Cricetulus griseus: one gene and its partners. The protein of the gene in region 1 interacts with the protein of each later gene in a pairwise test. Links are inferred from orthologs where the notes say so. Each region holds a gene or a part of one and is shown on either strand. Other genes may lie near its edges. The genes, in order: Eif4enif1, Eif4e and Efhc1.

The links.
Region 2: the proteins of Eif4enif1 (region 1) and Eif4e interact in binary tests that used the Homo sapiens proteins (3 or more experiments, as listed by UniProt). The link is inferred for Cricetulus griseus from reciprocal best matches to the Homo sapiens genes EIF4ENIF1 and EIF4E.
Region 3: the proteins of Eif4enif1 (region 1) and Efhc1 interact in binary tests that used the Homo sapiens proteins (3 or more experiments, as listed by UniProt). The two-hybrid records come from large-scale screens. The link is inferred for Cricetulus griseus from reciprocal best matches to the Homo sapiens genes EIF4ENIF1 and EFHC1.

The regions. Positions count from the first base shown.
Region 1 is NW_023276807.1:101,715,087-101,722,138, forward strand, and holds the start of Eif4enif1 (eukaryotic translation initiation factor 4E transporter), read right to left. Parts: upstream 4,383-7,052; 5' UTR 4,258-4,382; intron 4,212-4,257; exon of another isoform or gene 4,062-4,211; intron 3,446-4,061; 5' UTR 3,418-3,445; coding exon 3,322-3,417; intron 1-3,321. UniProt on the Homo sapiens protein: EIF4E-binding protein that regulates translation and stability of mRNAs in processing bodies (P-bodies). Plays a key role in P-bodies to coordinate the storage of translationally inactive mRNAs in the cytoplasm and prevent their degradation.
Region 2 is NW_023276806.1:21,044,577-21,051,856, forward strand, and holds the start of Eif4e (eukaryotic translation initiation factor 4E), read right to left. Parts: upstream 4,366-7,280; 5' UTR 4,351-4,365; coding exon 4,321-4,350; intron 1-4,320. UniProt on the Homo sapiens protein: Acts in the cytoplasm to initiate and regulate protein synthesis and is required in the nucleus for export of a subset of mRNAs from the nucleus to the cytoplasm which promotes processes such as RNA capping, processing and splicing.
Region 3 is NW_023276807.1:25,023,053-25,030,034, forward strand, and holds the start of Efhc1 (EF-hand domain-containing protein 1), read right to left. Parts: upstream 4,470-6,982; 5' UTR 4,453-4,469; coding exon 4,324-4,452; intron 1-4,323. UniProt on the Homo sapiens protein: Microtubule inner protein (MIP) part of the dynein-decorated doublet microtubules (DMTs) in cilia axoneme, which is required for motile cilia beating.

The DNA of each region.
Region 1 (7,052 bases):
ACTCTCATCCTTGGATAGGCCTGTTTAATACATCATCCAGTTTTTAGCATCTGCTGTGTAGCAGGCACTGGATCTTCACTTTCCCATTTATTCACCATAAAAGCTCCTGCAAGATCAGCTGTAGTCTATCTTTACTTTAGAGGAGAGATTAAGAGAAGCTAAGTGGCCAGGTGTGGTGATGCATGCCTTAATAAAGTCCCAGCATTTGGGAAACGGGACAGGTAGATCTCTGTAGGTAGACAGGTGGATCTCTATGTTTGAGGTCAGCCCTTGTCTACGGAGGGAGTTCCAGGACAGCCAGAGCCAGGGTTATACAGAGAAAGCCTGTCTCAAAAAGAAAAACAAAACAAAACAAAAAAAACCAAAAAACAAACAAGAACAAGAAAAAAAGAAAGAGATAAGCTAAGTGTAAGACTGAAGGTCACACAGGTTAAAGGTAAAGTAGTAATCCAGTCCATGAGTGGTACCTTAACAATCCTTAGTCTCTCTTTTTGTCCCCAAAGCTTGCACTGACAAGAAGAAGGTGCATCACCCCTTTCTGAAGCTGTGGCACTAATTATTAGACTTGTTCCAGTCTAGCTGGACTACTAGGAACTCTCAACCAAACTCTCAGCTTCTTAGGCAGGTTGCCCTTACGCCCAGCATCCTAATATACCACCCTTTCTTGAATAAAGGTTCCTTCTACAAAATTTTTTGTTTGGTTTGGTTTCTGTTTTGAGACAGGTTTCTCTGTGTAGCCCTGGCTGGCCTTGAACTCAGAGACCTGCCTGCTTCTGCCTCCCAAGTGCTTGGATTCAAGGCATGGGCCACCACTGCTTAGCCGTTCTTCAAATTTCTATGTGCAAAGACTAGCTTCTTATCTAGCTAAAGTTCCTATCATGCTGGGCAAGTAGAACACTCATGGGGTCAAAGAACCTGAGTCCCAACTTTTCAAGACGAGTTAAAATGGAAAAGGAAGATAATGACAGTCAAAACTCAGTACTTATGGTCTTGCCAACCAGCTAAGAACTTCCAGGTAGCTATGTATTCTGGACAGCTGACATATTAAGATCAGATAATGATTTTTTCACACCCTAACTCTGCCTTCCTGAAAATAGGCACCCTTATTTTTATGCTAGCTTAAATACACCACTGAAATGCCACCTGTTAGAGGTTTCTACTCAACTCAATTTATGGAAGACATGTAAAATTAGCAAAGATGACTTTTGTATAGGAAATAAATCATCTGATTCCTGACTTCTGCCTAAAATTTTTTGTTTGCTTTGTTTTTTTGTTTTGTTTTGTTTTTTTCATTTTTTGTGACAGGGTTTCTCTGTGGCTTTGGAGGCTGTCCTGGAACTAGCTCTTGTACACCGGCTGGTCTCAAACTCACAGAGATCCGCCTGCCTCTGCCTCCCAAGTGCTGGGACTAAAGGCGTGTGCCACCGCTGCCCAGCTCTGCCTGAAATTTAAATCTGAACTCTTCTCTGGCTTACTTTCCTTGACAGGGTCTCACTACATAGCTCTGGCTGTCCTGTAACTCACTTTGTTTTTTTTTGTTTGTTTGTTTGTTTGTTTTTCAAGACAGGGTTTCTCTGTGGCTTTGGAGGCTGTCCTAGAACTAGCTCTTGTAGACCAGGCTGGTCTCAAACTCACAGAGATCCACCTGCCTCTGCCTCCTGAGTGCTGGGATTAAAGGTGTGCACCACCAATGCCCTGCTTGTAACTCACTTTGAAGATCAGGCTGACCTGGAACTCACAGACAACCACCTGCCTCTGCAAGCTGTGATTAAAGGCATGTACCTCTGTATTGACTGCAAAATGCAGCTTTTGTTCTTGGGAACACAGCAAAACAAATAAGAAATTATGAATATTAATGACTTAAGACCCTGAGCATGATGGCCGGGTGTTGGTGGCACACGCCTTTAGTCCCAGTACTAGGGAGGCTGAGGCAGGAGGATCTCTGTGAGTTCGAGACCAGCCTGGTCTCCAGAGCGAGTGCCAGGATAGGCTCCAAAGTTACAGAGAAACCCTGTCTCGAAAAACAAAAACAAAAACAACAACAAAAAAAGACCCTGAGGATGACAGGCGCACATGATCAACTCATTTATAATATCCCGGTTAACTGTCACAGAGGCTTAAATGTTGGTGTAAAGACACCATGTGACTTTAGCTTGAATTCCTATACTTGGAAGCATAGCAGAGGCCACTCTAAACCTCAGGGAGCAGCTATGTATCTCAGTTACCTGACAAATGCCATTTTTTCAGTCTTCCACATTAGAGACTACTTAAAAAAAGCCAAACAAGAACTAGGAAATTTGGAATCCCATAAGATTGTAAGTATTTCAAAGCCACTTCCCTTCATCTGATACGTTCAGAATTCACCTGTCAACATTTTAGGCAATGAGTTTAAGTTGTGGAGTACTTTTCAATCTGAATCCATAGTTCAAAAGCATTCCGACAAATGTTAATCCCGGCACTAGGGAGGCAGAAGCGTCTGGTCTGTAACTGACTAATAGGAAAACAATCAATTAAGAACTCACATTACACTTAAAAATTCCCACCCAGGCATACTAAATCCATTCATTCATTCATTCATTCATTCTCTCGTTAACGCTGAAAATTACTACCTGACACTTTACCAATTAGGGAAGTGTAAAGGCAGTTCACAAATAAGCCCAGCTTTACTGAGTATCCTAGGAGGCCAGGGACAATAAACCACAATCATGCTGAGGTTCATGATGGTGATCACAGTAAGGAAATATGGACATGGGCTCAACTACAGCATAATCCCTCTCACTGGCCATTTCAAGGCTTTCCACTTCAGGAACATTTTACTCTAGCCCAGAGTATTTCAGAATGCCAGAAACAAACAAAATAGTTCACTGGAACTTATTAATCTATTCAGTAACACTCAGCAGCCATTATGACACAGATGCAATATCTTCACTAAGTACAAAACTTGGATGTAGTTCCTGAGCTAGGGATGACAGCAAGACGACCAGTTTCAAACTACATGTAGTAGTGCGCACCTCTAACTTCACAATCAAGAGTCTGAATTGAGTACCATAGGTAAGCCATGTCTCCAAAAACAAAAATAGGAAGCTTAAAATCACTATGTATTCTTAAGCAATGAAATAGTTGTGAGTTCATATCCCATCTGTAACAACAACGACAACAAAAGCTACAGTTTAAACCCAGTAGTCACACTTCCAGAAAAATGACCAAACTGATACTTTACTAAATTTATTTAGTCTCTAGTGAATCATAGCCAAGAGTGCCACTTTAAATAACTCCAGTGAGATAGCTACACATTACTACTTCACTAATAACAAAACTTACTTTTGTATAGCGGTGAGGGGATTTGGAGGTGGGCAGTTTCTTTAGCTCAAGGAAAGCATCTCCATTTTCTATTTCATCCACACCTCTCTTCTCCATGGCTTCTTGGTGTACAATTTTTTTGTACCTGGGGAGATAAATGTCAGCACAAAACTGTCAAAGGAAACAATAAATATTCAGAAGCCTTAGCTGCGTATGAGACTGAAACTTTGAGGGGTAAAAGTCTAAACAGTTGTGTAAAGAAATCCACCCAAAAATTATGGTAGGAACCAGAACTAAATTGGAAAGAGAACCTCCACAGAGAAAGGAAAGCAGAAGTGTAAGGGGCTCAACTCAGGATACAACCTTTAATTATCTTTAATACAAAGAGAAACCAAAATAGTCGCTGCCACCCACGAGAACCAACCAGGCTGTGCTGGTGAAGTTTCCCGGTGTAAAGTAAGAACAGGACTGATTGGGCTGTCGATCCGGGAAGTCAGGCTGCTGGAAGTGCCTGTCACTTGTCAATGGATGGCACCAGCTGCCCCTTATTAACCCCAGCGTAAGGAGCTAGGGGAACCGGCCCGAGCGCACCTCTCTCAGCCGGCCACACCTGTGGCCATGTGAGGGACGTCCGCGGCGAAGGAAGGGCCGGTGCCGGCCTCCTGTGGGAGACTCTGTTCCTTAATAAACCAACCCCCGGGCCCTCACGCAGGCCCCCGGGCAGAGGCCTCCTCGGGAAGAAGGGCGGGGATGATACTCACGAAGGGAGGCGGGCCGGAGGGAGCAGGGACCAAGTCCACAGGCCGGCCACCTACAGCCGGCGCAGGCCCGCCTGCTGGCTCGCCGGCCGCCCGCGCGCCTCGCGCCTCTGCCGCCCCCTGCGCGCGCCCTGCCGCCCGCGCTCCCGGGGCAGCGCGCCGTCCTCGCCCGCAGGCCGGGGCCCCGCTCTTGCCGTACCCTTGTGCTGAGCGCCCGCCGTCGGGCGGCCACACGCTTTGGCCGCAGCGTCCCACCGCGCCCGCTCCAGGCCCGGCGCCGCTGCCTGCGGCCTGTGCTTGCGCCCCCCCCACCCTCTCGGGCTGGCTCTCCTCAGCCGCCGTAACCGCGGCCCGGCCCTCCGGCGCAGCTCTCCGCCCCCTCCCCCTAATAACCCCCGTCGCGCACCGCGGGCCCAGGCGCCGCCCTCTCAGCCCGCAGGACCTGAGGTGTCCGCGGCGGTGCCTGTCGGAAAAGCCGCACTGGGCGGTGCGCTCCGCCGCGCTGAGCTCTGCGTGGGCCGGACGGCGAGGGCATAATAGCCAGACAGGCACGGTGGCTGCGGGGAAGTAGTCTCAACGGGAGTTGCGGGAGCCGGTGCCCGAGCGCTCAGGCGGCCGCTTTGGGCAACTCAAGGAAGGGCGCCGCGTTCCCACGCGTCGGGAAGGGAGGAGCCAGAAGCGCGCTGCCCCAGACCCGCGCCACGCCGGCGTGAGCCGGGTGGCTTGGGTGGATGTTCGTCGTCCCGTCGCTAGCGGTCACCAGACTGGGCCTCACCTGGGGCTGGGACAGCAGGAGTCAGTTAAAAGAACATAGCACTGCTCTGCTTGTGTTTATTATTGCAGTGTTCAAGGGTAAAGCTCTGAGCGCTCTGATTTTTTTGCTCCCCCCCCCAAAAAAAAACTGTCCCCAAAGTTACTATGCAGAGGATTAGCCACAAGGGCTGGTATATTAATAAGCAAGTTTGTCACAGTTACATTTGATCCTACGTAAAGGAAATTGAGTTAATTGAAGTATCTTCCAGTGAATAATCGGAATCTTGAGTTACCCTGCACGGGCAGGGAAGAGTTAAGTATCTGGGGGAAATTTAGATGGCCGGCTTCGGGCTCGTAGCCTTTACCCGAGTGCCGAAACTCAAGATGGCAGAGGATACAGATACGCATATAAGTAAATAATCCAAGAACTGCGGCCCTGGGCTGGTCAATTGTGAGCCTGGTATGCAGGAGAATGCTAAACGGATTCTGCTCTGTGGGACTGCCCATGGTTGAGGTTTCTTTAGCGTGGCGGGGGACTTAGTTTTGTTTGTTTGTTGATATCGTTTCTGTTTTAGTTCTTTTTCCTCTAAAGAACAGCGAGGCTGAGCATTTTGGCCTATGCATGTAATCTTTGTTTTGCGGAGCTTGGGGCCGGGAGTTCAAAGCCAGCGTGGGCAACATGGCATTTGAACATCATTTTTTTTTTACTTGGGAAACTACTTTGCTTTCTTTCTGTGAGCCATGACAACAAAAGTAATTTTCCCCCTTTGTAAGGATTAATAGAATTTTTGTTCCAAACTATCTTTTGGGGCAGGGTTTTGCTATGTAACCCTAGCTGGCCTCCCAAGGCCAGGAACTGAACTTTGGGTCCTCTAGAAGAACAAGTGTGTGCGACAAGAGACAGAGGAATATTTGCACTGAAATAATAGGCTGTATAGAATTAGAAATGTATTCCTCTTTAGTTTGGTTTGCCAGACGGTAATAGCAAGTAGTAAAGGTTAAATTTGGCAGTGGCTGGACAGTGGTGGTGCACACCTTTAGTCCCAGCACTCAGGAGGCAGAGGCAGGCGGATCTCTGTGAGTTCGAGACCAGTCTGGTGCACAAGAGCTAGTTCCAGGACAGCCTCTAAAGCCACAGAGAAACCCTGTCTCGAAAAAACGAAAAGAAAAAAAAAAAAAAATGCCAGTAGTGGGGGAAAGCCTTAGGTAATCTGCATAAAGATTCTTTGGGAAAATTTTTCTAGATAGGGTTTCTCTTTGTAACAGCCCTGACTGTCCTGGAACTCTGTAGACCAGGCTGGCCTCAAATTTAACAAAGATCTGCCTGCTTATCCCAAGTGGTGGTATTAAAGGTGTCCTGCCACCATCCCCAGCTGGGAAAAAAAAAAATAAAGCCACAAAGACACATTGTAGCGAATCAACAATAGTTGCTTTTCTTTCTTTTTCCCCCTGAAACAGGGTTTCTTTTTCAATGACTTTTTTAAATTTAAATTTATTTATTTATACAGTGTTCTGTCTGCATGTATCCCTGCAGACCAGAAGAGGTTACCAGTCCTGATTACAGATGGTTGTGAGCCACCATGTGGTTGCTGGGAATTGAACTCAGGACCTCTGGGAGAACATCCAGTGCTCTTATTCACTGAGCCATCTCTCCAGCCCGAGACAGGGTTTCTATGTGTAGCCCTGGCTGTCCTGGAACTTGTTCTGTAGGCTGGTCTTGAACTCACAGAGATACCCCTGCTTCTGCCTCCCATGTGCTTGGATTAAAGGGAGGCACCACTACTGCTCAGCTGGGATCTACATTCTTAAAGCTGAGAGAAATAGGAGTAATCCTCTTGTTATGGAGTACAGAAGGCACCCACTCCCAGGTGTTGACTTAGAGACCCAGATCTCAGGCATGCTTGGTGCCAAGACTTTACCTGAGTTATTCAGTTTTCAGAATCCTAGTCAATGCTAGGAAAGTACTTTTGTTTTGTTTTGTTTTTGTTTTTTGAGACAGGGCTTCTCTGTGGCTTTGGAGGCTGTCCTGGAACTAGCCTTTGTACACCAGGCTGGTCTCAAACTCACAGAGATCCGCCTGCCTCTGCCTCCTGAGTGCTGGGATTAAAGGCATGTGCCACCACCACCCAGCGGAAAGTACTCTTAAAAACTGAGCAACATTCCTAGCCCAATAAATTATTTTCCCAAAGTTACCAAGTGACACTTTCATTTAGTGAAATCTGAGTGTATTTCACCATCCTA
Region 2 (7,280 bases), on another chromosome or scaffold:
ATAATTTATCCAGCCAAATTGGACCTTTGTACTTTCAAAATTAAACCAAATACAAAACACATATAACCCACATGGTAGAGACACTTCCCACCTCTGTCCTCTGACCTCAACATGACCCCCGTTAGCACATGTCCCCTCACTGAGTAAACGTAATAAATATTACTAGAAAACAAGACAAAAAGTAATATTTATACTGAATCTGGGGGAATAGGCAACAGTTCTTTTTTACAACAGTAAAAGCAAAGCCAGGCACAGTGGTGCACACCTTTAATCTCAGCACTGAAGAGGCAAAAGCATGTGGATCTCTGAGTTCTGGGCCAGTCAGAGATACAGTGAAACCTTGTCTCAAAAAGGTGGTGTGTGTGTGTGTGTGTGTGTGTGTGTGTGTGTGTGTGTGTGTGTGTGTGTGTGTGTGTGTGTGTGTGTGTGTGTGTGTGTGTGTGTGTTGTCTTAGTGGTTAAGAGTACTTGTTGCTCTTGTAGAGGATCCAGGTTCAATTTTCAGCACCCACATGGTGCTTCACAACCACCTGTAACTCCAATTCCAGACAATCCTGTTATGAGGACCACAAAGATAGATATATTTGCATATATATTAAAGGATGTTATGGGGAAAAGGACTCATGGGTACTGGACAAGGTATAACCAGTTGCAAAATCTCTCTGCTCTGCGCAAGGAAGCTGGGAACCGGCCACATGCTGCCTCAAGCCACCTGACCCAGTATTCACGACCCAAGAGAATATGAGACCTCTGCCTCTCTCATGTCTGAAGACAAGAAGCCATTCCCTAAGGCTGGTACCCCAAAGGTACTGGCAGAATAAATTCCCATAGCAGAACCCAACACCCACAGGCACCCACATACACATGACATACAGACACATATGTAAGTAATAAAATAAAAAAATGATAGCAAAAGACAGGACTTAGCCAATTACAGTCAATGTATTTAATGTTTCACATTAATTCAATTTTTATTTTATTTATTTACTTTTGTTTGAGATAGGGTCTCTCAGTTTAGCCCTGGCTGCCCTAGAACTCACTCTGCAGACCACGCTGACCTTGAACTCACAGAGATCCGCCGGCCTCTCTCCTCTGCCTCCCAAGTCCTGAGATTAAAAAGCACACTCCACCATTGCCCAGCAATATTTTTTTAAATTCACTGAAACTTTCCACTAGCAAAATATCCTAAGTGGCAAAAAAGAAGTCAGGAGAAGGGAAGTGATCACTTGATGTCTTTTGAAATCTACCTACAAAGTTCTAGACCAAGTACTAAAACAAATGACTATTACACAATGAGCTTTCTGTATTTGTGGGTTTGTTATCAACAAACTCAACAAAAGATATTCAAGGTAAGAAGCAGCTCCTATTCTAAAAATGACACAATTTTTTCATTCCCTAAACAACCCAGTATGGATCTTGTTGTGGTATTTGTGTTCTGCTAGATACATTATCCCAAGTTCATAGCAGGGTGTATTAAGTACCATGCAAATACACCACTGCCTATGAGGCATAAGCTATCTGCAAGCTATTAAAAGTCTATGCTTTAATTCAACATGGTCACGTGTGTAAGCATCGTCTTAAAGTCTGTCTGCACAAATCTTAGAGCTGAAACAAAGCCCTAGAAAGCTTATCAACACTAAGCTCCCTTTCTCAAGTTACCCTCCATGCCCAGCAGATAGCAGTGTGATGCTTACAAGCACAGCCAGAACTCGGCTGCCTTAAAGGTTTCCTCATCTGTGAATTAAGAATAACTCCACTCATCTAACAGAACTGCTGCAAGCAATAAATGAATATATATAAAATACTTACTCTGAGGCCCAACACACTAAGTTAGCAATTAATAAAGATCTGCCTCTATTAAAAATAGTCGCTACAAAAGCAAACAGTTGTTACAAACAGGCGGTGACTGAAAGGTCATTTTTTAAAAAATTACTTGCTTAGAACACTAAATCCACATTCCTGGAAATACTAGTCAGGCTTGTAGTCCACCTAAGCCTCCCATCAATTTCCATGGAATAATGTATTTTTAAAATTACAATATACAAAGAGGAACACACATTCAGAGACAACTACTTGTTTCTGACTGTAAGACAAAAAAAAATGACCTTTTTTTTTTTTTTTAGATGAAAAGCAATCCTTTCTTCTCTAGATGTGACTAGACTCTGGTAAAAACAGGAAAGTCGACAATACCTGAGCTGTGATCATAGATTTCACATTGCTTGCTAATAATGGCCAAGGACTGACAAGAATTTTCCAGCACAAGATGTGCGCATGCAGAGAGGTGCCGAACCTTGATTGAGTACAAACATTAGATCCACACAAGTGACACATATCATCTCCAATACTCCATTTAAAAATCAGGGTAAAATTAAGCTATTTGATTCCCATTTTTACCCGGACTAAGAAATTTCAATGTTCCCCACTCCCAGGAAAATTTAAACAAGACTGTATAAGCCATGCTTAATCCCACTCCTCAGTCATCTCCCTGAGAAAGACCGCACAACTCATAATGTAACAGAATCGAGTCTCCAGTGTGGCAGGGAAGGAAAAGGAGCAATGACTATTGACACGATAACTATTGCACATGTCTCCTATTATAAGAGGGCTGCTGGTACTTCTACTGACCTTTATAGTTTTAGCCTTCTAGAACAGTGGTTTTTCAACCTTCCAATGCTGTGACCCACCAATACAGTTCAAGCTGTGGTGACCCCCAGCCATGAAGTTATTGTTGTTTCTACTTCATAACTGTTATTCTACTACTCTAGGAATTACAACATAAATATGTTTCTGGTGGTCTTAGGCAACCCCTGTGAAAGGGTTTTCACCCCCCAGTTGTGAGCCACAGTCTTAGAAATTAAGTGTGTCATGAAAGTGCTATTGCTCAGGACTTTCTGTTCAATCTGGATTAAGCCAATCTGAAAAATTTTAATTGATTCTATGTAACTATGATGCATAAAGTGTATATCCACATTTCGTTTTTCTAAGTCAAACAATCACACAGATTCAGAGTATAAAGTGAAGTGAAATGTGAAATAACTAAACAAAGTTACTAATAAAATGAGTTCCTGCTGGAGAAATGGTTCAGTGGTTAAGAGCACTGGCTGCTATTCCAGAGGAAACGGTTCAATTTCCCACACGGCAACTCACAACTGTCTGTAATTCCAGGTCCAGGGGACCTGACACCCTTACACAGGCAAAACACCAATCAATGCACATTAAATGAATAAAATGAAATGAAGCATGGATTTAACTTTTAGGGCTAGAGAGACAGCTCAGTGGTTAAAAACACTGGATGTTCTTCCAGAGGACCTGAGTTCAATTCCCAACACCCATATGGCAGCTCACAACTGTCTAACTCCTGTTCCAGGGATCTGATACCCTCCCACACAGACATACATACAGGCAAAATACCAATGCACACAAAATATAAATAAATAAATTACAAAAAATGAGTTCTCAATTAAAAAAAAAAATTGTCAATCTGCTTACCAATAAACAGCTTTTCGGTTGATACATTTTATAACTTTTAGTGCTTTTCCTTGTTTTTTTTTTAAGCTTTTCACACATATATTTACTTATTTATTTCTCTATGTGTGTGCACTTGCCTTGGTGTGGACTTGGAGATCAGAGGACAATTTGCAAGAGGTCCTGTTTGCAACCTGAGGGTTCTAGTCTCCAACTCAGACCCTCAAGTTTGGCAGCAAACACCCTTGCCCCTAAGCTATCTATCTCAGTGGACCTTTTCTCTTAGACTTTATTTTGCTTTAAGACAAGGTATGACATGTAGGCCAGGCTGTGCTCCAATTCACAGTTCTCTTGCCTCCACTTCTGAGTGAGTCCTCAGGTTACAGGCATGCACCACCACAGCTGGCTTCTCCATGTTTGCCAGTCTTATTTTAAAAGCAAGGCTAAGTATAAAGAGAGGAAATATCTGGACTAGGTGTGATGTTGTGCACCTGTATATATCCCAATGCTAAAAAGGCAGAACTCCCAGCTTTGATCTATGGAGTTCCAAGACAGACAGACAGACAGACAGACAGACAGACAGACAGACACAAGTTCCAGACCTACACACAGACACACAAAAAAACACATTTTTTAAATAACAGGAAAAACAGCAGAAGAAAAGTAAGCTATCTAAAAGGAAGAACCCATAGAATACCATCAAGGACATGGTCTACCATTTTCACTAAGTCTAATTTTGACTTTCCTCAATTCCAAACTAAGAGGAGCAACCATTTTCCACAGGTTCTGTAAAGCAATATATTTCCCCTTTGAACGTCTCAATCTCTATCTGTAAGCCATTACTTGCATAACTAACCTCAAACACTGATTGAAAATGACTGATCATTCGAGGGGCGTTGGTGACGAACACCTTTAATCCCAGCACTCGGAAGGCAGAGGCAGGTGGATCTCTGTGAGTTCGAGGCCAGCCTGGTCTCCAGAGTGATTGCCAGGATAGGAACCAAAGCTACACAGAGAAACCCTGTCTAGAAAAACAAACAAAAAAGAAAATGATCATTTATGGATTTTCCATAGATTACTGGAAATACTGACAAATACTTATAAAAGGTTGGATATGTAAGGAGAGAAGTATCACCTACTCATGACTAAGTAAGTTGCTCTCAACTTTCCTAATCCTGCAACCCTTTAATACAGTTCCTCATGCTGTGGTGACCCCAACCATAACATTACTTTTGATGCTACTTCATAATTGTGATTTTGCTTTTATGAGTAGAAATGTAAATACCTGTGTTTTCAGATGTTCTTAGCTGACCCCTGTTGAAAGGGTTGTTAATCCCCCAAAAGGGGTCAGGACTACAAGCTGAGAACCACACTGCTCCAGGTGCTTACAATTCAACACACTACAAAAAAAAAAAAAACTAAAGAAACACACACAGCAATAACCAAGTAAGACTTTTACAAGCTTTAACACAGTTCCTCAACTGCAGTCCAATAGTAAAATATAACAGCTGCTTTAAAAAAAATAAAAAGATCTGAAACTGAAGAAGCACCAGCGTAGTTTAGTAGCAGAATGAACTTAGTGTACACCAGGCTCTGAGCTGAAAATCAAGCACCAAAACCAAATCTGTTGTTGTTGTTTATTTGCTTTGTTTTTCAGGAGAGGGTTTCTCTGTGTAGCCCTGGCTGTCCTGGAACTCAAAATCCACCTGCCTCTGCTTCCAAAGTGCTGGGATTAAAGGCATGCACCACCAAGGCTGGGCTCCAAAAGCAAATCTCAAAAATATTAAAAATACCATGAGTAGTCTAAAGGCAGGGGTGTTACAAAAAGAAAAACAAGTACCTCAATGCCACTCTGCACACTATCTCCAACTAGCTTCAATGCAACTTTCACAACAGAGTTATCACTAGGAATATTTCAACTCTGACCCAAACCAGGCTCCTAAGGAACAAGTACAGACCACATTTTGTACAACTCTGTATTCTAAACCTCACTTGGTACCCCACCTTAAACATATCAACAACTCAGAACTGACTTAGAACAAACTCTAAAGACACTAAGTTGTGGTTTTAACACAATCCAAGACTTGAATGTAACTGAAATATCATAGAACATATTACTGTTTTATTGCTTAGGGTCTTTTTCAGTTTTGCCTCTATTACTGCCCATACTATTTTCCCCTAATACTGGTAGAGAAAAGTATAAGACTCAGAAGTAGATACCAGAACTTGTCAAGAGAGTTTACGTTAAATTTAAATGCTTCCCTCTTGTTCTTACATAATACTGATATTCTAAAGTCAGTTAACTTCACTAACAACTTATGAGGCAGTTTTGCAGACAACCAAATTGCCAGGAAAACTGATGCCAATAAAGAACAAGTAAATCACGCCAAAAAGAAAAAAAAAGTTGCCTTGAATTCTGCCAAGATAAGTTTGTTTTGCAAACTAATCAAAATTCTTCAGTCCATAGGTGAGTTTTTAAAATTTTAAAAATATCTGGCCAAGGTAGTCTACAAGCGTTCCTGTGTCAAAGGTTTCTTCTGGTTGCTAGTCTACACCTTTAACCACCTGAGATCTTAATCACACAGGTGTGACATTTCTTAAAAAAATAATCTGGGATGCATGGCCAGTGACCCAGCTGTTGGTAAACCCAAAGCATGACCAAAAAAAAAAAAAAAAACATAAAAAACCACTCTTCTGCCTTCGGGGTAGCTACCAACACGTTGCTCGGTGAGCATCTTGCTTCAATCAATTTCGGAATAGTGCTTTAATGAAGAGGAAAGCAGTGTAGGGTGGGAAGGAGGGAAAAAAAAAAAAAAATCAAACGTTAAAGCAGTACTGAGAGGCCGGACTCCAAACGCTGTCCTCCGACTTCCACATGCGAGCCAGACACGCGCTGCTGCCCTCGTGCTTGTTTTTTGTTTTGTTTTAATTTAAGGAAAGACAATCTCGAAAGTTTCTATTTCCAATATTAGTGTGTTCGTTGGGGATCTTCCAGACGGTCACGTCGCCTCAGAGCAGAAGAATCTACAGAGTCGTAGGGTCGGAGGCGTGCGCGCTGCGCCCAGAGAGATGAATGAATGGAAGCCCGGCCCGGCGCGTGTGAATCGCAGGTCTCCGGCCGGGTGGCCGACCCGCGGCGGCGGCGGCGGCGGCGATCTGCAGGCCTCGCTCCTCCCCCTCCTCTCCTCCATGACAGCCCAGTCCCGGTGTGGAGGGGCCGGGACAATGTGGTCACCTCGGCCGGCCCCCTCCCCCGGCCCCGAGAGGTGCGCGGCGCGGCCCCAGGGCGTCCTCCCCACTGCACCCCGCAGCTCGGCGGCTCTCCCTCCGCCGCGCCCGCCCCTCTCTCGCTCCCGCCCGCCCGGCTCCGCGCGCCCACCGGCTCCGCCAACCCACCCCTCCTCCTCCCTCCTCCTCCTCCCCGCGGCTCGTGCGAGCGCGGCCCGCACGAGGATCCCGGCGGCGGGGGAGGCGCAGCTGCCCCAGGCTCCCTCGGGCTGCTCCGGGCCGGTTCACCGCCCGCCCGCCCACCCCTCCGAGCACCGTGCCCGCTCCGAGCCCGCCCCGCGGCCCCGGACCCGCGCCGCCCGCCCGCCCGCCCGAGCCGCCCGCCCGCCCCCCGAGCCGCCCTCCGCCGGCCGCAGCTCGGGCCGCGCGGCGCCCCTCCCCCACCGCCCCGGTGCCCGGGCCCCCCGCACGGCGTGTGCGCTCCACGCTGCCGCCGCCAGCCTCCCGGCGCCCGGGCTGCCCGCGGAAGGTCAGGCCGGGGGGACGGGGGCCGGGCACGGCCGGCGGCGGCGTGCGCGCCGGGAACGC
Region 3 (6,982 bases), about 77 Mb from region 1:
GGAAAGATGTACGCCATTAATAACCTCATAGAAATCTTTAAGTAAAACAACTCCCTAACACAGCTTAAACTTTTGCTTTGAAAATATATTTTAAAATTGTGTGTATGAGTGTAGATGAGTGCATTTGAGGGCAGATGATTCCTTGGGCCAAAATGGATATGAGCCACCTGATGTAGGTGCTGAGAATTGAGTCCAGGTCCTCTGCAAGAACAGTTCTTGCTCTTAAATGCTGAGCCACCTTTCAAGCTCCAAATGTTTGCTTTTCAGCATCACAAAGTGTACGCCAAAACTTTTCACTGCATTAAAAGGATACTTTTAATAATTAATTAATTAATTTTATATCTGGGCCGCAGTTTTCTCTCCTTCCTCTCCTCCCAACTTCTCTGTCCCCCATTCTGCCCTCCCCCCAAAAAGGGGTATTTTAAACCAAAAGACTTGGTCAGGAGCAAGGAGGGAAGTAGAAGCCACCTAAGGTGAAAATAAAACAGCTCTGCTCTGTGATGTCGGGCTTACCTATCTCTACCACACCACTTCATCTACAATTTATTTTCATGGATCTTGTATTTCTTCTTCTTCTCTTGGTGGTCATGAACAATAGCCTCAGAAGATCTGGTTTTCTGAATTGTAATTTTCCCTTCAGCAACAGCCCTTCTTATTGACACTGACACATTTATACAAGTCTTTGGAAAGCACAATGCCAGCATATATGTAAACATCCAGTAATCCTGCCCTTTTCTTAAAGATACAGCCCCAAAATTATGGGAAAGAAAGATAGACTTGAAGCTAATCATAATAGTGACAAATATATGAGTGTAAATATGATGCTTACATGTTGTAAACAACCTAAAGGACAAATATAAAAAAGAAAGGAAATGATGGAAATTTCACTCATTGGATTACTATGCAAGAATTAAAATAGTTTTAAATACTACGCAGAAGTCTGGTGAAGTATTTACAATTTATTAAAACAAAAAGGGCACCATGTAAAATTATATAAATACACTACAATTATAAGCATTCAAACTGGATTTGGTGAACATTCTGTATTCTGTACTTCTGGATTATGTTCATTCTCTGCCGTGAATATACATTTGTTATCATTGGAAATGTAAAACATTAAATACAGGGGAAGAATGAAATTGAAGTTATATTAATTTAGTGGGTTTTATGTTCTTTGAAGGGTTATTTTCTAATTGTATATATGTAGTATATTTATTTATTATGCATATATGCATATATAATATAATCAAATTTTATGTTTATTAAGAGTAAAAAGATTTACTTGCCTATCTCCCAATTCTTTGGAGTCCAGCCTACCATCTTTCAAGGTCTATCTTACCATCAAAGCAACAGCAGTATGGATTTCTGCTAAAAGAGTTATGGAGCACAGACCTTTCTTTAAGGGTCATGTATTCTAGTCCAAGTCAGGTGACAGAGGCTGTACCAGATGCCTAACACACAGACATAGAATAAGATGTACTGGGCAATGTGCATAGCTCCAAGTTCCTCTTTGGAAGCCCTCAAGACAGAGGCAATATTATTAGAGGCTGAGAGTATAGCTTGGTGATGGTGTACTTAGCATGTTCAAAGACCTAGGTTCAATTCCCAGCACCTTCAGAAGTAGGGAGGAGGGCTCGGGGGAATCTTGGCAGGAAAGGGTTACTAATCACCACGACTGGCCACCTAAATTAGATCCTTGGAACCCATATGGTAGAAGGAGAAAATTCCCAGACATCATCTTATGATCTCTACACATGCTCAACAGCAACCCCTCTCCCCAAAATTATGAAATAAAACATCAATAACTTCAGTTTATTTTCTTTGTGGTTAGTGGATGTCTCTCTCACCAGTCAACTGTATCATGGGACACCCCAGGCAAGGCATTCTTAGGCCTCCCCGCTTCTTACTTATTAGGGTTCACCTTCTGGACACATTTTTCTTTGGAGTTCCAATATTCCTTCATTGATGAAGATGCAGTTAAGAAGGTTTTCAAGTTTCAAGTAAGGATAATTAATTGACAGTCACTCGGTATATTTCATATGGACCTACTGGTCCAAGGCAGTTCATCTTTTCATATAAATATTTAAAGTCTGGCAATTCTAGCCACAGCTCTATAATCTCCCAAATTAATTCAACTCTATCTTGTGGGTAACCCCACTCACAGACACCGAATGTTTCAGCTGATTCTGTACAGCATAGGAAAACGTCAAATAGTTTTAAATTATATGAAATTTAAAAGGCTCATTGAAATGGCAAATCTGTGGTGCTGGCCAGGCACAGTGACTCACACTTTTAATTCCAGCACTTGAGAAACTGTGGCTGGAGATTATCCAGGGTTTGAGGGCAGCTTAGGTTATATAGTGAACTTCAGGCCAGCCTGGCTACAAAGGAGAGAGACTGTGTCTCAAACAAACAACAACAGAGAAACACACGTAGGGAGCTTGCATCTTTAAAAACGTGACCATGTTATATCTTAATGCAAGAGTAGAAGAGAGTCAGAATCCAAATTCTCCCCACACTTTCCACTGAAATGGAAATCGATGTCCCCTAGAAAACAAGTAGACTAAATAATTTCCCTTAAGAAGTGTGAAATTGATGAGTCTGAATTATTAAACTATACAAATATGAATTACTATTGGCTCATCTACATACACCACTCTACCGAATCTCAATGTTGATTCTCCAGAATATTTTTGTAACTCTGTTAGAATTAAAACAAATGCTGGGAGCATTTAAGAGATGTACAGTGGGTACAGCTCAGTTGGTATCCTGTTTGCCTGTAACTCACAAAGCTCTGGCTTTGGTGACCTGACTGTAATCCTAACACTCGGGAGCCCAGAGGATAAGTTCGATCACCCCAAGCTATATAGTAAATTTGAAGCCAACCTGGGTTACATGAGACCCTGTCTCAAAATAAATGAGAATATAAATAGTTAAACTATGTCAAGAGGAAACCAAGAACCAAACTACTGCTGAAATGGGCTTTGATCCGAGGCATTTTTATTTTGTTGGTGGTGGTGTGGTTGATTTCTCTCTCTCTCTCTCTCTCTCTCTCTCTCTCTCTCTCTCTCTCTCTCTGTGTGTGTGTGTGTGTGTGTGTGTGGTGTGCACATGCCTGGGTGCATGTATGTGACCTTACATGTGAAAGATGGAAGCTGACATGGGGAGGCTGCATCAGATAAAGGCCAGTCTAGTCAGGTAAAACCCATCTTGCATGGGTTCTAGAGATCTGAATTCCACTCCTCTCATGTGAGCAGCAAGCGCTTTGTCCACTAAGCCACCTTCCCAGCCTCGTTTATGCTTTCTTTCCATGCTGTTCTTGTTCTGTCTGGTTTGGATTTGTTGCTGTTTGGAGACAGGCACTGGCTATGTGGTCCAGGCTAGGCTTAAATTGGCCATCCTTATGCCTTAGCGCCCTGAAAGCTGTGATCAAGGATGTGCACCACCACACTGGACTTGTTTTAATTTAATTTCATCCAGACAGTAAATAAAAACATCGGGGGAGGGCAGGTAAAATACAATCTGAAGAGGGGTCCTTTGTGTTGGCATGCCTGAGCATTTCAGGAGGCTGAGGTAGGTGGTTTTCAAGTTCAAGGCCAGTCTGCACACAAGATACAACAAACAAACCTCCCCACCAACGTGCACAGCCTGAAAAGGAATCACACACACACACACACACACACACACACACACACACACACACGTTAAGAATGTAAAACACAGACTATGGAAGGAGAAAACACCAAGTGGTCCATGTGGTTGAGGTAAGTGAGATGGGAGAAATACAAAGCAGAGAGGGGAAAAGGTAGGCACGCTTTAAAAAGAAACTTCAAGAAAACCAAGATGAGCTGGGGGAGGGATTCAATTCTAAAGTACAATGACGCTGGAGAGAAAAGTGACCCTCAACTCAGAAGCCCAGAGACTCCGGGTAGGGCGGGACGGGGAGACCGGTCAGGAAAGGAGTGCTTGGAAAGGATGCGTGTATACATATACACGGGAAAGGGGGCTGAAAGGCAGCGATCTTGAGGATTCGGAAGGGGTCTTAAACGAAGTTGCTGGGTGTGTGTGTGTGGGGGGGGGTTGTACACACGCAATGAGGTACGGGGGGATGAAGGCAGAGAGGGTTGAGTAGAGTAAGAATGCATCTGGGGAGAGGCGTGGAGATGACCTGGAGTAATGGGGCCAGAAGGCAGGTAGGTGGGGCAGGAAAGTAAGAACCCGACAGCAGTGAGGACCCAGGTGGTGTGTGGACAGGGCGGTAGAACCTGTGGGATGGAGGAGAGCAGAGGCGCCGAGTAGAGAACCCTTCCGACTGGTCCTCACCGTGGTGTCCGTAAAGGACGAGCCCGGGAGAAAGGGCAGGCCGGGCACCGGGTTGGTCACCATCGCAGCTGTGCAGCCGCCACCACCGTTGCCTTCTGCCTTTCGGGTTACCCTGGCAACAAACAACATCCGCGGGCCTCTCCAGACTCCATGGTAACGCCAAACACCAACGGAGGGAGGAGGAAGCCGGGAGGAGGGGGGAACCGAGGACAGGTCTGCGCGTGCGCATAGAACCCCTGAGGCTCCGGGCCACTGGATGTGGCTAATGGGTGTGTCAGAGGCGGCTCCGCCCCTTCCTTCCCTTCCCCTTCCCTTCCTCCTCAGCCCCCTAGATGGCTCCCAGAGGATGCAACCCAGAAGCAGTTTCTATGAAAGGCTGAAGGAGGTTGGTGTCCTCAGGCTTTGGCTCGTGCAGTGAGGTCTGGGGATTGGAGTACGTCCTTTTAGATGAGTTACAGAGGAGAAGTGCCTTCTCTCTCTGCGTTAGTCCTCCCAAGAGCTCAGGAACTCTTTCCCATCTCTGGGAAAAGAGCTGCTGTCCCAGTTCACACAGTGTGAATGATTGCTCTCCGGTGAAAGTGCTAATTGCTTCAAACTCATACTTCTTGGGACCGGGGTGGTGGGTTAGATTATTACTGACTGCGTTTCTGTTGCTCAGGCATGATTTAGAACACAACATCCCCACCCCCCACCGCCATGCACTTCCCCAATCCCTCCCCAGCTTCCTGGTCCCCTTTCTGCTATTTCACCATTGGCTCCTGAAGGCTCAGAGCTGTACTGTGTAACTGTTGATTGCAGAATAGGATCTGCCCATCTCAGTCCCTGCTTTGTATCTACAGACGCAGTAATTACAACCACAGAAGAAGAGAACACCTTCAAAAAGAGAGGCCGAGTCACGAGAAAGAAACAAGACCAGTGAAATACTGCCGAGTATGGCGCTTTCTGGACAACTTAATATATTTTTTTTCTTTTAAAAAAAGTGACCCCCATTCCTGAAATATCATCAGGAAAAGAAAGAAACCAAGAACCCATCAGCACTGAGAGCTTAAAAATAAAAACGAAGCCAAGATGCCCAAGGGCTTGGATTATGTTTCAAGATTTCCCAGGAGTCTGATCTTCAAAACATGTGTTTCTGACCTATGAATTTAGAGACAGAATAGAGTAGTAAGCCCGAGGGAGAAGACATAACGCTGCGTCATGGGTCACTTGCTGCCACCAGTTCAGACGGCAGCTGTATTAGGCTTCTCTAGAAGAACAGGACTGATAGGATGAATCACACACACACACCACACACACTCGATTTACTAGAATGACTTACAGGCTGTGGCCCAGCTAGTCTAACAATGGCTGTCTACCAACAGAAGGTCCAAGAATTCAGTAGTTGTTCAGTTCTTGAGGCTGGATGTCTCAGCTGGTCTTCGGTACATGGCAGAATTCCTTTAAGTCGGAGCTAATGCCAGTGAACGAATTGACTTGCTATCGAGAGTGAGAACAGCAGGCAAAGAGCAAGCTGCCTTCTTCCATGTCCTTTATAGAGGGCTCCAGCAGAAGGTGTAGCCCAGATTGAAGGTGGATCTTCCTACCTCAAAGATCCAGATTAGAAGTGAGTCTTCCCACGTCAAATGACTTATTAAGAAAGATCCTTCACAGGGGTACCCAGCCACTTGGGTTTTAGTTAATTACAGATGTAGTCAAGGTGACAACCAAGAATAGCCATCACAACAGCTTTGCCTTTATGGCTGCTCACCACAGCAAATCTTCCTGTGGGTTTCACTAACTGTCATGAAGCTCCAGGGGCCAGGATAAGAATGTAGTAAGTGGCATCTAAAGCCGTCACTGGTGACATTACACCTACCCCCCCAAAAATCATTTTTAGTACCTCTTCATTCCTCCTTACTACTGTTTCTTGTTCTTGCCTGTCTGTCGCCTCTTGTCTTCATCCTTCTCCTCTGCGTCTTCCTTTTTTGTTGTTGCTGTTGTTCTTTTTGAGGCAGGGTTTCATTATATATTCCTTGCTGGCCACCTAGAATTCCCTATGAAGACTAGACTCACAGAGATGTTTCTGACTCTGCCTCCTAATGCTGGAGTTAATGGCATCCACCACCATATCCAGCCTCCTCCTTTCCTCCTCCTCTTTGGACAGTCTGGGTTGTGTGTGCCATCATACCTAGATCTTGTCCCTTAAAAAATCCTTTCTCATTTTTTTCTTGTGTACATTAGCTTCACTAGAACACCCCCAGTATTTAATTAACCTCCCCCCATGAACTGATTAGCACTGCTGCAGTTACTGAAAAGTTTAAAAGCACCTGCCATTTCACTGTACCTGAAACACTGACTAGAATGGTGACTGGGGAAATTAGTCATGACAATAAACTCCTCTGTACCTCACTACTGCTGGGTAGCCAGCATCACTGGTAACTGACTTATTGTGATAAGCTTAAACTCTTACAGACACACTGTGGTAGTTTGAATGTAATAGGCTCCCATAATCTCATAGGGAGGTGGCACTATTAGGAAATGTGGCTTTGTTGGAGTGGGCAAGACCTTGTTGGCAGAAGTGTGTCACTGTGGGGACAGACTTTGAGGTTTCCTATGCTCAGAATACCACCCAGTGTCTCAGTCGACTTCTTGTTGCCTGCAAGATGTAGGACTCTCAGCT